Canis lupus familiaris: one gene and its partners. The protein of the gene in region 1 purifies or fractionates together with the protein of each later gene. This does not show direct contact. Links are inferred from orthologs where the notes say so. Each region holds a gene or a part of one and is shown on either strand. Other genes may lie near its edges. The genes, in order: PTP4A2, CNNM4 and CNNM2.

Region 1 (3,597 bases):
CAGGATCAGGCCCTGGACTGCAGGCAGCGCTAAACCGCTGAGCCACTGGGTGCTGCCCAAGCACTAAATTCTATACCTTCATTAAGAGATCTTTATTCTTGGCGTGCCTGGTTGGCTCAGTCAGTTAAGGGTCTGACTCTTGATGTCAGCTCAGGTCATGATCTCAGCATCGGGAGACTGAGCCCTGTATGGGGCTCCATACTGGGCATGAAGCCTGCTTAAGATTCTCTCTATCCTTTCCCTATTCCCTCCCCTGTGCATGCACACTCTCTCTCTCTCTCTCTCTCTCTAAAAAACAGATCTTTATTCTTTAAACATCATGACATTATCTGAATGTTCATATTCTATGTTATCAAAAATTCTTCATTGGTCTTTAACCAACATTGCAGAAAAAAAAAAAGAAGATTTGGGATCCCTGGGTGGCGCAGCGGTTTGGCGCCTGCCTTTGGCCTAGGGCGCGATCCTGGAGACCCGGGATCGAATCCCACGTCGGGCTCCCGGTGCATGGAGCCTGCTTCTCCCTCTGCCTGTGTCTCTGCCTCTCTCTCTCTCTCTCTCTATCATAAATTAAAAAAAAAAAAAAAAGAAAGAAAATTTGAAAAAAAAAAAAAAAAGAAAAAGAAAATTTGACCAAACGTGTCATCTGTATTGAGTATCTCAAAAACTTTATTACAGGGACACCTGGCTCAGTGGTTGAGCATCTGCCTTCAGCTGGGGTCGTGATCCCGTGGTCCTGGGATCGAGTCCCGTATCGGGCTCCCTGCATGGAGCCTGCTTCTACCCCTGCCTCCGTCTCTGCTTCTCTCTCTGTGTGTCTCTCATAAATAAATAAATAAAATCTTTAAAATAAAATTTCAGCACAAAACCTTTTTATTATCTTTTCCTCATCAAATACTAAAAAGGCACTAGATTTCTTCAACAAAATCCTTTCTATGAGCTAAGAGAATTGATAATTAGAACAGTTCTCTATAAAAGTATGTTTTTAGGGTTATGGTTTTTTTTTTACATCTAACAAGGGGACACTGAGGCCTGAGCAGGTCTCAAACTGTCCATGGTTTGGGGAATGCCCTCTGCTTCATGAACCAAAAAATAGAGGGTTTGTCTTCTGGGAAGACAAAGCTGTCTTCTCCTTTGAAAAAGCCTCCAACATAGTTGAATTTGGAGTCTTCCAGGAATATGAAGGCAGGGATTGAAGCCTCATGAGTCTGGATTTTCAGCTGGGGTAGAGAAAGAAGACAATGGTTATAAACAGCAAGTCCAGGTGAGGTATAGTTAAACTCCAGGACTTGTCACTGTTAATCCAGCCTGGGTTTCAGGACAGTCACAGAAGTAGATTCCTTAACAATAAAATACTACTACACACATAGACAAAAATCTAGCAAGGGAAATGACTTTTAAAAAAAATTTCATTAGAGAGAAAGGCAGAGACATAGGCAGAGGGAGAAGCAGGCTCCCTGAGGAGCCTGATGCTGCACTTGATCTCAAGACCCCAGGATCTCAACCACTGAGCTGCCCTGGTGCCCCTGGGAAATGACACTGTAAAACATCTACTACATGGTACCAACTTTAGACTACCTGCTAGGATAGTCACCAGTTTTAAAACTGCCCAAGTTAGGACACTATCTTCACCCTTCAGAATAAGGACTGGAACTTCTGGCCCTGAAGAAGAAATTATACAACACTAAACTGCAAAAAAAGGGGGGAAAAGAGCAAAGAACAGACCTGAGCAGAGATAATAACCTGAGTCACCACCACCTGGAGGCAAGAGCACCCTGCACTACTGTTCTGAGTCAAAGTGCACATCATAAATTAGCATTTAATCTGTTGTTGATGAGACTGTAGCAACACCGTTCCATGCAATGCTCAAGGAAAAAGGCTTTAAAATCAAAGTTAATTTTTGTTCTCCATACATCTCCTTTCAGAAGTTTAAAGTTCGGCCATCGGCTCTCCACCTATTAACTTCCTGTTCATCTCAATCCAAAATTAACCACACAGTTTCTTCAGAAATTTAAAATTATTTTTTGTTGCTCATCTCAAAGACCTAAGCCCCTCTGAATATGTGAAATGAGGGGGAAAAAATCCATACTGAATTAAGACCAATTTTTAGCTCAAAAAAAAAATTTTTTTTAGCTCAAATATAAGATAATTACATTAAATCAGTTTCAAAACAATTTCTGAGCCATCATCCACTAAATCTATCATGGGCATCAAACTCTTAAGAAACCATTGCACCAACTTTAGCTCTCATTTCCTTTTCTTTTAGGCAATTTAATATTTGGTGTAATAAATACAAACGTCTATCAGAGTGAAATTTTTGATAATGAATTCACAGACAAAAATGTAAGAGCTTACCTTCCCAATCCTGCAACACAATGCACTGCAACACAGCAACCTGGCTCTTCACGAAATTTGGTTTTTAACAAGTTTAGCCAATCGTCTACTATCTGATTAGGGGGTGGCGCTCCATCATCAAATGGCCAATCCTGGAAAGAAAAGATGTTTTACATTAAGTTGTTATTTTCTCCAGGATAAAATCTACTGCAGAATACCTGCAATAGAACACATCTAACTTTTAACTAACTGTACTTTATATACCTATCCAGTTTTTTTTTTTTTAGAAGGTGAGTGCAGGGGATGGGGCAGGGGGTGTGGATCTTAAGCAGGCTCCACTCCCAGCACAGAGCTAGACTCGGAGCTCAATCTCACAACCTTGAGATGATGACCTGAGCCAAAATCAAGAGCTGGACACTTAACACTGACCCACCCAGGTGCCCCTATATACCTATCCTAAATAATACAATTCTGATCACTGCTGAAAAGTTTTTTCCAAGATCAAAATTCAAGTGTGCCAAGTAACTTAGCCTTCTCAATCACATGTAGCCAGCATTGTAAGCATCTAATTTTATCTTATGGAAATCTCTTATCAGAGTGGTAAGAAACTAGGGTCTTCAAATAATTTATCTGAATAAAGCAATAATTAGACATAATAGAGAAAACTATACTTAAAGCCTAGACAAAGTAAGAGAGAATACAACACCTATCAATATAATTTAAAAGTCCACTGTGGCAAAGAAGTATACCAACTGGGACGCCTGAGCGGCTCAGTGGTTGAGCATTTGCCTTTGGCTCAGGGTGTGATCCTGGGGTGCCAGAATTGAGTCCCACATCAGGCTCCCTACATGGAGCCTGCTTCTCCCTCTGCCTGTGTCTCTGCCATTCTCTGTGTCTCTCATGAATAAAGTCTTTAAAAAAAAAAAAAAAGTACACCAACTAGTATCTCACTGATCTCTACAAATATTTTGAGGATTATCCCCCAAATAGCTCTAAGTTATGATGCCTTTTCTTATTTATTTATTTATTTATTTATTTATTTATTTATTTATTTATTTATTTATTTATTTATTTATGATAGTCACAGAGAGAGAGAGAGAGAGAGAGAGAGAGAGAGAGGCAGAGACACAGGCAGAGGGAGAAGCAGGCTCCATGCACTGGGAGCCTGACGTGGGATTCGATCCCGGGTCTCCAGGATCGCGCCCTGGGCCAAAGGCAGGCGCCAAACCGCTGCGCCACCCAGGGATCCCCTGATGCCTTTTCTTT
Region 2 (4,300 bases), on another chromosome or scaffold:
CAGGCCACCTTACCAGGCTGTCTTGCACTTGGACTTATGTTACTCAAATCCTTCTCAGCTCTGATGCTGAGGTTCATTCTGTCTGAAGAGATTCTGAAATCAGTCTGTCCCTCTGAAAAAGGGAGGGGACTAATCTCCCACTCTGGCCCTGATCAGAGCAAACCTGGCAAGGCCAGCTCCTACCTATCCCACCCCCTCACCAGGGACCCATCCAGTTCCAGGCTCTCTCCCCACCTCATGAAATAATCGACCGACAAGCATCTGAGGCCTGTTCCCCACTGGAGCGCAGAAGCTGCTCCCAGCCCTAGGCTGGCAGGCTGCCTTAGCCAGCAGGAGCTCTACCTATGGGGAAGGGAAGCAAAGTCCTGGATTTAAGATGTGCTCCCTCCCCTCCCCCATTCCTTTATAAAGAGCTTCCCTTTCTGCCTCCTCACTCCCTTTGGCCTAGGAGGGTTTCACTCCATAATTGGCTTGTTTACTGCCACTGAGGACTTCTGAGTGGCAGAGGTGGGAGGAAAGTTTTGTTGGACGTAAGGAAAGGGGTGTGTGCCCTGAGCTTTGAGGCTGATGAGTAAAACCTCCAAGTGCCTTTCTAACTACCTGAGAACTGGCCAAGAACCCATGTGAGAAAAAACACAAGGCACTGCACGGCCAGCTGAAGATTTCCAGCAGACCACAGGAGGGAAGCTTATGTTTGGCGCCTGGGAAAAGACAGAACAGTAACCAAAACTTGATCTGCTTGCTTCTGCTGAATAGTCGAAAGCATTACTTGGCACTGTTCTGAGTGGGGAACCCAGAGATCTCCCAATCCAGCTTCTGTGGGTGAGAAGCCCCAGGAACATCACTCTTGCTCGAAAACTTCCGACAGCTCCTAGCTCTGAGCAAACTCTCCACCCTGACATCAGCCTCTCCCCACTGACCACTGAACAGCAGAGCTCAAACCCAGCTCAACAGGACCACCTGCTGGGCCACAGGCACAGCCTTTGCTTCCCCACTCAGGTGCTTGGCTCCTTGTAGGGGTCCTCTTGTCTCAGGGACCAAGTCTCCCCACATCTTCAGGCTCTCCTCAGATGCTGCCTCCCCTAGGAAGGTTTTCCCAGGTCCCCAGCCCCTTCCACACCTCACCCCAATCAGATGTGGGGGCCCACACTCTAATCTCCATGGCCTCTCTTAAGGCATCAGCCTTACTCTGTCCTGCTTCATAGCTCCTGAGGCCTTGCTCTATCCCTCCAAGTGCACAAGTGTTGTCTGGGCTCTGATTCACCTAGAGTACAAAGCACAGTACCTGGCAGACGGCAGATGCTTAGGAACCGTTCCTGCCGCCCCAAATACCGTTCACCTCAGAGGCACAGGAAGTGATGGGCAGTCACACACAAAAACACTAGGACCAGCAGACACAAAACAGGCAAGCGAACGAACAAGAGGCGTCACAAAGCCAGTTAACGGGCAGAACTTCACCAGGCCTTACCCTTCTTGAATTCCTCCAGCATGGCATCCAACTTGGTGTCATGGAAGACGAAATGTACTGGGTGATTATAGAAGCGGGTGATGGTCTTGAGGGGGGTGCAGTCATCGGGGTCCACAAAGGCCAAGTCTTTGACATAGAGAATATCTACAATATTGGACTGCTCGTCCTCGAACACGGGAATGCGGGTGTAGCCGCTCTCCATAATCTCCGACATCGTATTGAAGTCCAGGATGGCATCGCTGCGGATCATGAAGCAGTCTTGGAGCTGGGTCATGATATCCTCCACGGTTTTGGTCCGTAGCTCCAGGGCACCCTGGATCATATTTAGCTCCTCTTTCACCAGGTCATTATAGGGCTCTGTCACCTTCAACATCTCCATCAGCTTCTCCCGATTGTAAACGGTGCGAATCTCCTGGCCCAAAACAAAATCCAGTAGCTTGCTGATGGGGAAACTGAGGGGGAAGGTGAGGAGCATAAAGAATTTGGTGAGAATGATAGTGTTGGCACCCACAGCCAGGCCGTGTCGGGAGCACAAGGCCTGAGGTACGATCTCCCCAAAGATGACAATGCCAATAGTGGAGGAGGCCACCGCCATGAGCCCAGATCCTATGAGGTTGTCTAGAAGGATGGTGAGGGAGGTGTTGACCAGCACGTTTCCCAGAAGCAGGGAGCAGAGTAAGTAGTTGCCCTTGCGCCGGATGGGCTCGATCTTTCGGGCATAGCGCCTCTCCTTCTGGGTGCCACAGTTCTGCACGATGCGAAGCTCCATGGGGTCCAGGGCCATAAGCCCCAGGTTGAGGCCAGAAAATATGCCCGACAGCACCAGCAGCACCATAATGAGGAGGATGTGCAGCCAGAGGGGCAGGACCCTCCCACCCTCCTCCACCATGAAGAGCAGCGAGTCCTTATCGGTCCACCTCTGCCAGGGCCCGTCCACCCCTGCCCGGGTGCACAATGCATACAGCTTCATGTTCTCGCTCCTCCGGAGGAACTTGGTGAGCACCACCAGCATCCCGGACGTGTTCCCGCGGCTCAGGTTGACCAGCTGCTGGACCACCAGGTCCTTGGTGAGCTCGGGACAGTTGGTGGAGTTGTGGACGGCCTCGGAGTTGTCCACCTCGGTGAAGGAGATCAGGTTGCTGGAGATGGAGCCCAGCCTCTGGCCATAGAGCCTCAGGTTCACCGTGCTGCCCTCGGACACGAAGATGATGCCATCTGGGTTCATCCCACACGTTTTGTTGCAGCTCGCCAGCCTCATGCCCAGGATCGCGCCCCGCTGGGGGTCGCCCTGGCCCCGGGCCCCCCGCGCCCACATCAGCACCGGCAGCAGCAGCGCCGCCAGGAGGAGGCGCCCTCGGGCCGGCCCGCCGCCCGGGAGCCCGCCCCCGCCCACCGGCGCCATGTTGCTCCGGGTCGGCCGCCGCCGCTCCCCGCGCCCCGCCGCGCGGCCCCGCTCCCGCCGCCGCTCCTGCCGCTTCGCCGCCGCCGAGCCAACTGCCCCGGCCGCCGGCCTGACGTCAGGTCAGCGCCCCGCCCGCCCCGCCCCGCCGACCCACGCCCCTCATTTGCATGGGAGGCCCCGCCTCCGGGCGCGCGGCTCCGCGCCCGCCCTTAAGGGGGTCCCGAGCTTAAGGTGGCGCGGCGGCGGGCGCGGCGGCGGGGGCGGCGCTCGCCCCTCGCCCCTCCCCCCCGCCCGCGCGCCCTCCCCGCCAGCCTTCCCGCCCGCCCGCGGCCGCGCCGCCCGCTCGCCTCCGCCGGGCCTCCTGCCTGGCCTCGCCGGGCGTCCCTGCGGTCCGGCCGGGCCTCGCGGGCTCGGCTCCTTCCCAGAGACTGGTGCTCGGGCCAGGGTGGCCCTTCTCCGCAGCAACCTCCGCTCCGCGGTGGCTCGGGCAACAAAAATGCTTTTTCTATTATTTAAAAAAAAAAAAAAGGAAAGGGGAACCTGAGGGCTCAGGCATTGCAGACTGCGTCCTCGGAGACTTTTCAGGCAGAAATGGCCTCCGCACTCCTGGGAGTTTTGCTGACCTTGACCCAAGGCCAGAAGTAGGTCCCCTCGGCCCCAGCCCCCAGGCCCCGCACCCTTTGGCCATTGGCTGCCCGGTTGGAACAGTCCAGGGAACTAAGGATGTAGAACAGAACGTTCTCGCGGGTAATAGGGCCAGGGTCTGGCCTCGGCTATCCTCATGTCATTTCCATTCAGGACACAAATACTGAGCACCTACTATGTGCCCGGCTCTTGTTCCAGACTCTAACCATATACAGCCGTGAATAAGCCAAAGTCCCTGCATGATTTTCACGGTCTAGAGCAAAAAACAGACCATAAGCAGGTAAACACATGCAAAATATTGATTTAATCCTTGGAACAACACTAAGAGTTAGTGTTATCTGTCCATATAACAGATGAGGAAATTGAATCTAGACCTGCCTTCGGCTCAGGTCGTGATCCGGGGTCCTGGGATCGAATCCCGCATCAGGTTCCCCGCAGGAAGTTTGCTTCTCTCTCTGCCTGTGTCTGCCTCTCTCTGTGTGTGTCTCTCACAAATAAATCAATAATCTTAAAACACACACACACACACACACAACAAATAACAAATAACAAAGTGGGGTCCCTCCACATTGCTGTCTTAACAGGCTTGTGAGACTGGGAAGGCACGATGGAGTGTCAGCCCCAGTTTCTGTCTATAAAATGGGGATAAGAACAATAATAGGGCACCATCTCACTAAGCTTATAGGAACAACTGGCCTAGGCCTTGAACACGACAGGACAACTCTAAATGTTCTACACAGCTGGTGTTGTTTATGCCTGCCCACCAGGAGGACCAAACCCCTAAC
Region 3 (4,350 bases), on another chromosome or scaffold:
TTCTATCTGAAGAAGGAAAACTTAGTTTTGAAGACTATCAGGTCATTAAAGGTCACATACATATTTTAATACCTACACTAGCACCACAGCAATTAAACAGCTCGGCCGCCCATGGTTTTCAAATAGCAACACTAACTATTTACTGGAAACTTTTTTTAAAGACAGAATTTCAGTTAATAATAGCATGAGTTGCTATTTGCCTGTTCATTACACGGTAAAACAAACAAAAAATAACCACCATGCGGGGAAAGGTGAGCACATCAGACTCTGCAGGTAGCTTCCCTATTAAAACTCCCCAGAACATTGAGAACTGACTTGAAGACACACTTCAACTTAACATACCAAGCGATCAAGGTCAAGAAGAACACTTATAAACCAGAAAAACTCTAGCGATAAATAAACCACAATAGAGGGCGTCATCCCATTGTTAAATGTTCAAGATTTCTGCCAAAATCACACTTGGTTTGGGAAATTTATTTGTCAAGTAAATATAAACAAATAGTGAAGAAAGCTAGACAAGATAGCCTAATAAAAGGTTAACTCACCTCTAGTCTTTCCAAGTTATATATTAATAACTCTACTTTGAAAAAAAACAAAACAAAACAAAACCCTCTTTTCTAGCTAAGGCAAGTCACACCCAAATGCATAAATCTTTTTGGTGATATTGGCTTAACCCATCCTCTATCCTCAAAAGGCAGAGCCCAATCTGCCCCACAGGTGGCCTGACAACCAGGAACAGAGCTACCGAAAATGCACTTCCAATCTCTGAAATGTCAGTGAATGGTTAAGGAGGAAGAAGAGGATTGTACTGAGTTTAGAGAAACTATCTCAATGTTTTTCCAAACGCCTGAGATTAGTACATGTCAACCAGATGGCACAGCATGGCATTAGCTGGCCCCGACTTGCACCTTACCCACTCAGAACTGGGGCAATGGTATGCAGCAGACCCCTCAGGACCAGAGGGCCAGCAGTATCATGCACAGAAAATAGAAAGCCTGCTTTTTGAAATGCGAAAAAGCGAGTGACGTTAGTCTCGTGCTTTTAGAAAACCTAGAAGCGCCTTCTAGTTCAATCCATCCCCCAAATCCATGCCACCCTTTCAACTTTGCAATTAAGAGACAGGAGAAATTCCGGTCAACTCGCCTTGGGGGGTTGATCTGAGGGTAGAGGGCTCAAGTAGGGAGGAGGATGGAGAGAGAGAGAGAGCAAGCCAATGAAAGATACCAAAATTTCCCACCTTTCTTAAATTCTTCCAGCATAGCGTCCAACTTGGTGTCATTGAAAACAAAGTGCAAGGGGTGGTTATAAAATTTAGTGATGGTTTTCAGGGGAGTACAGTCATCTGGATCCACGAAGGCCAAGTCTTTGACAAAGAGAAGGTCCACGATGTTGGAGCGCTCCCCCTCAAATACCGGAATACGGGTGTAGCCGCTCTCCATGATCTCCGACATGGTGTTGAAGTCCAGAATGGCTTCGCCCGTGATCATGAAGCAGTCCCGGAGCGGAGTCATCACGTCCTCCACTGTCTTGGTGCGGAGCTCCAGCGCTCCTTGGATGATGTTCAGCTCCTCCTTAACGAGGTCGTTGTAGGGGTCGGTGACCCGGAGCATCTCCAGCAGTTTTTCCCGGTTATAGACAGTGCCTATCTCCTGGCCCAGGACGCAGTCCAGCAGCTTGCTCACCGGGTAAGAAGCGGGGAAGGTCATCATCATGAAAAACTTGGTGAGGAAGATGGTGTTGGCCCCGACAGCCAGGCCGTGACGGGAGCAGATGGCCTGGGGCACGATTTCCCCGAAGATGACGATGCCGATGGTGGAGACCACCACCGCCACGAGGCCTGAGCCGGCGATGTCGTCGAGCAGGATGGTGAGCGTGGTGTTGACCAGCACGTTGCCCAGCAGCAGCGAACACAGCAGGTAGTTGCCCTGCCTGCGCACCGGCTCGATGCGTTTGGCGTAATTCTTCTCCTTCTCGGTGCCGCAGTTCTGCACGATGCGCAGCTCCATCGGGTCCAGGGCCATCAGCCCCAGGTTGAGGCCGCTGAACATGCCCGACAGGCACAGGAGCAGCGAAATGAAGATCACCTGCAGCCAGAAGGGCAGCAGGAACTTCTTCTCCTCGCCCACGATCATCTTGGTGTCCTCGCCGTCGTGGTAAATCCAGGTGGTCTCGGCCCACGGGGGCGGCGGGAGCCCGGCCACTCCCGAGCCGCCCTTGCCCCCGACGGCGCCGCCCGCGGACCCCGGGCCGCCGGCGCCCAGGGCGGGCGTGGAGAGCGATGTGCACAGGTAATAGGACTTGCTTTTCTCCATCTTGCGCAGCGGTTTGATCTCGATCTCAATGATGCCCGATGTGCGGCGGTTGAGAATGATGTGGGGCAAGATGATGATATCGGAGGTGCGGATGCCGCAGCGCTGGGGGCCGCTGTCCGGCTCGGGCGGCGCGGGGCCCCCCAGCCCGCGCTCGCCCGGGCTGTGAGGCCGCCGCTCGTGCTCGGTGAAGGCGATGCGGGACCACGTCTCGTTGTTGATGTTCTGCCCGTACACCCGCAGCTTGACCCGGGTCCGCTCGCTCACCCGCAGCGCCCCCCCTTCCATGAAAGACACGTCGTTCGTGTCCTCCAGCCGCAACCCGATGATCACCGTCTCCTCGTTCTCGCCCGCTGCTGCGCAGCCGCCCGCGCCGCAGCAGCAGCTCAGCAGTAGCAGCGGCAGCAGCCGCCCCGCCGCCGCCTGCAGGACCCCCCGGCCGCGGGCGCTGAGGCTGCGGCGCGCCGCCATCTTCCAAGTGGGCAGTGCGGCGGCTGCCTGCCCGCCCGCCATCTTTACTTCGGGTTCACAAGCGCCACAGCCAATCATAGGGTGGCTGCTCCAGCTGCGGCTTCATCCTTCCCACCCGGCGGCGCGAGCGCAGCCACCGGCCCCTGGGCGAGACTGCAGCGGAGCGTCCGCACACACGGTCCGGCGGTCCGGCTCCCTGACTGACACTGACCCGGCCTCTGCCAGCTGAGGAACCTGGAGACTCGCGGGAGGGGGAAAAGGGAGGGTGAAGCGCCAGCCGCTCCCGCGAGAGGCAGGCGGACCAGCCAATCACGCGCGGGTGCCCGCCCTCCCAGCCAGGGGGCTGGAATGGGGGCGTGGTCACGAGCGGAGCCGCGGGCCAATGGCAAGGCAGGTGGGTGGGGCGATGAAAGCCACCGTCCCCCTCGGCACGCCAAGTTTCCTACTGAAAGGCGCGTGACTCTTGTGTATGTGCGAGGGGAGGAGGTGTGGCCAGCTGGGGCCCGAGAGCCACTCACGGACGAGAGCTGTACGAGAGGGGGCGGGGCCTGCAGTCGGGCTACCAATGAGAGGGGGCCGTCTGCGGGCCTGGTGCTCCCCGAGGGGCCTCGGTAGTAGCTCCCCGCGCCTGGGTAGGCAGTGCTGGGCTAATGTCCTGGGGCCCTGGACGGTCGGTTTTCGCGGCACCGCGTTGCCGGCTGCCGCAGTGCTCAATGTTCCTGCGACGGAGGCTGCCCCAGGAACCCGGGAAGCCGACTGGGGAGGGCTCAAGCAGCGCGTTTGCCTGAAAGGCCGGGACACCTGCTGCGCCACCCTCCTCTACCCGTCGGCGCCGCTCCGCCCGGGATTAGCGGCGACTGGGTGGCCCCACACCTAGCGACCTGCCTCTTCTGGAGCTTCTCACTTCTCCCAACGGGATGCTCTCACGCCGCAGCTTGCGGTCGCGTGGCGCCACCTGCCGGTTACGTTGGCACCCTGCAATGCTTTCCAGGTCTGCAAACCCCAAAAGCTTTGCGGGAGAGGTGAGAAGGTTACAGTGAAGCAGTTTCCCCACCTTCCAAGTCAGGAATCCCCTCACTATACCACAAAGCTATAGTCATCAAAACAATACGGTATTGGCATGAAAAAGGCATACGGATCAATGCGATGGAACAGAGAGCCCAGAAGTAGACCCATACATATATGGTTAATTTAGGAAAAGGAGCCAAGAGGAAAGGACAGTCTCTTCAATGAATGGTGTTGGGAAGACTGAACAGTTACATACAAATGAATGAAACTAAATGCCATCTTACACCACGTATAAAAATTGACTCAAAATGAATTAAAGACTTGAATCTAAGATCTGAAACCATGAAATTCTGACAAGAAAAGGTAGCAAGCTCTCTGACATTGGTTTTAGTGATTTTTTTTTAAATTGTGGATCTGACTCCAAAGGCAAGGTAAACAAAAGCGAAAATAAACAAATGAGACTACAACAAACTAAAAACTTGAAGGAAACCAACAAAACAAGAAGACAACTTGTTCAATGGAAGAAAATACTTGCAAATCACATATCTTATAAGGGTTTAGT

Evidence for each region.
Region 2: the proteins of PTP4A2 (region 1) and CNNM4 purify together in Homo sapiens (affinity purification with mass spectrometry; 6 studies listed by BioGRID and IntAct, counting the BioPlex papers as one, with this or other methods). This does not show direct contact. The link is inferred for Canis lupus familiaris from reciprocal best matches to the Homo sapiens genes PTP4A2 and CNNM4.
Region 3: the proteins of PTP4A2 (region 1) and CNNM2 purify together in Homo sapiens (affinity purification with mass spectrometry; 4 studies listed by BioGRID and IntAct, counting the BioPlex papers as one, with this or other methods). This does not show direct contact. The link is inferred for Canis lupus familiaris from reciprocal best matches to the Homo sapiens genes PTP4A2 and CNNM2.

What each region holds. Positions count from the first base shown.
Region 1 is NC_049223.1:68,628,797-68,632,393, reverse strand, and holds part of PTP4A2 (protein tyrosine phosphatase type IVA 2), read right to left. Parts: intron 2,484-3,597; coding exon 2,353-2,483; intron 1-2,352.
Region 2 is NC_049231.1:46,251,483-46,255,782, forward strand, and holds the start of CNNM4 (metal transporter CNNM4), read right to left. Parts: upstream 2,871-4,300; coding exon 1,469-2,870; intron 1-1,468. UniProt on the Homo sapiens protein: Probable metal transporter. The interaction with the metal ion chaperone COX11 suggests that it may play a role in sensory neuron functions. May play a role in biomineralization and retinal function.
Region 3 is NC_049249.1:15,555,648-15,559,997, reverse strand, and holds the start of CNNM2 (metal transporter CNNM2), read right to left. Parts: upstream 2,859-4,350; coding exon 1,238-2,858; intron 1-1,237.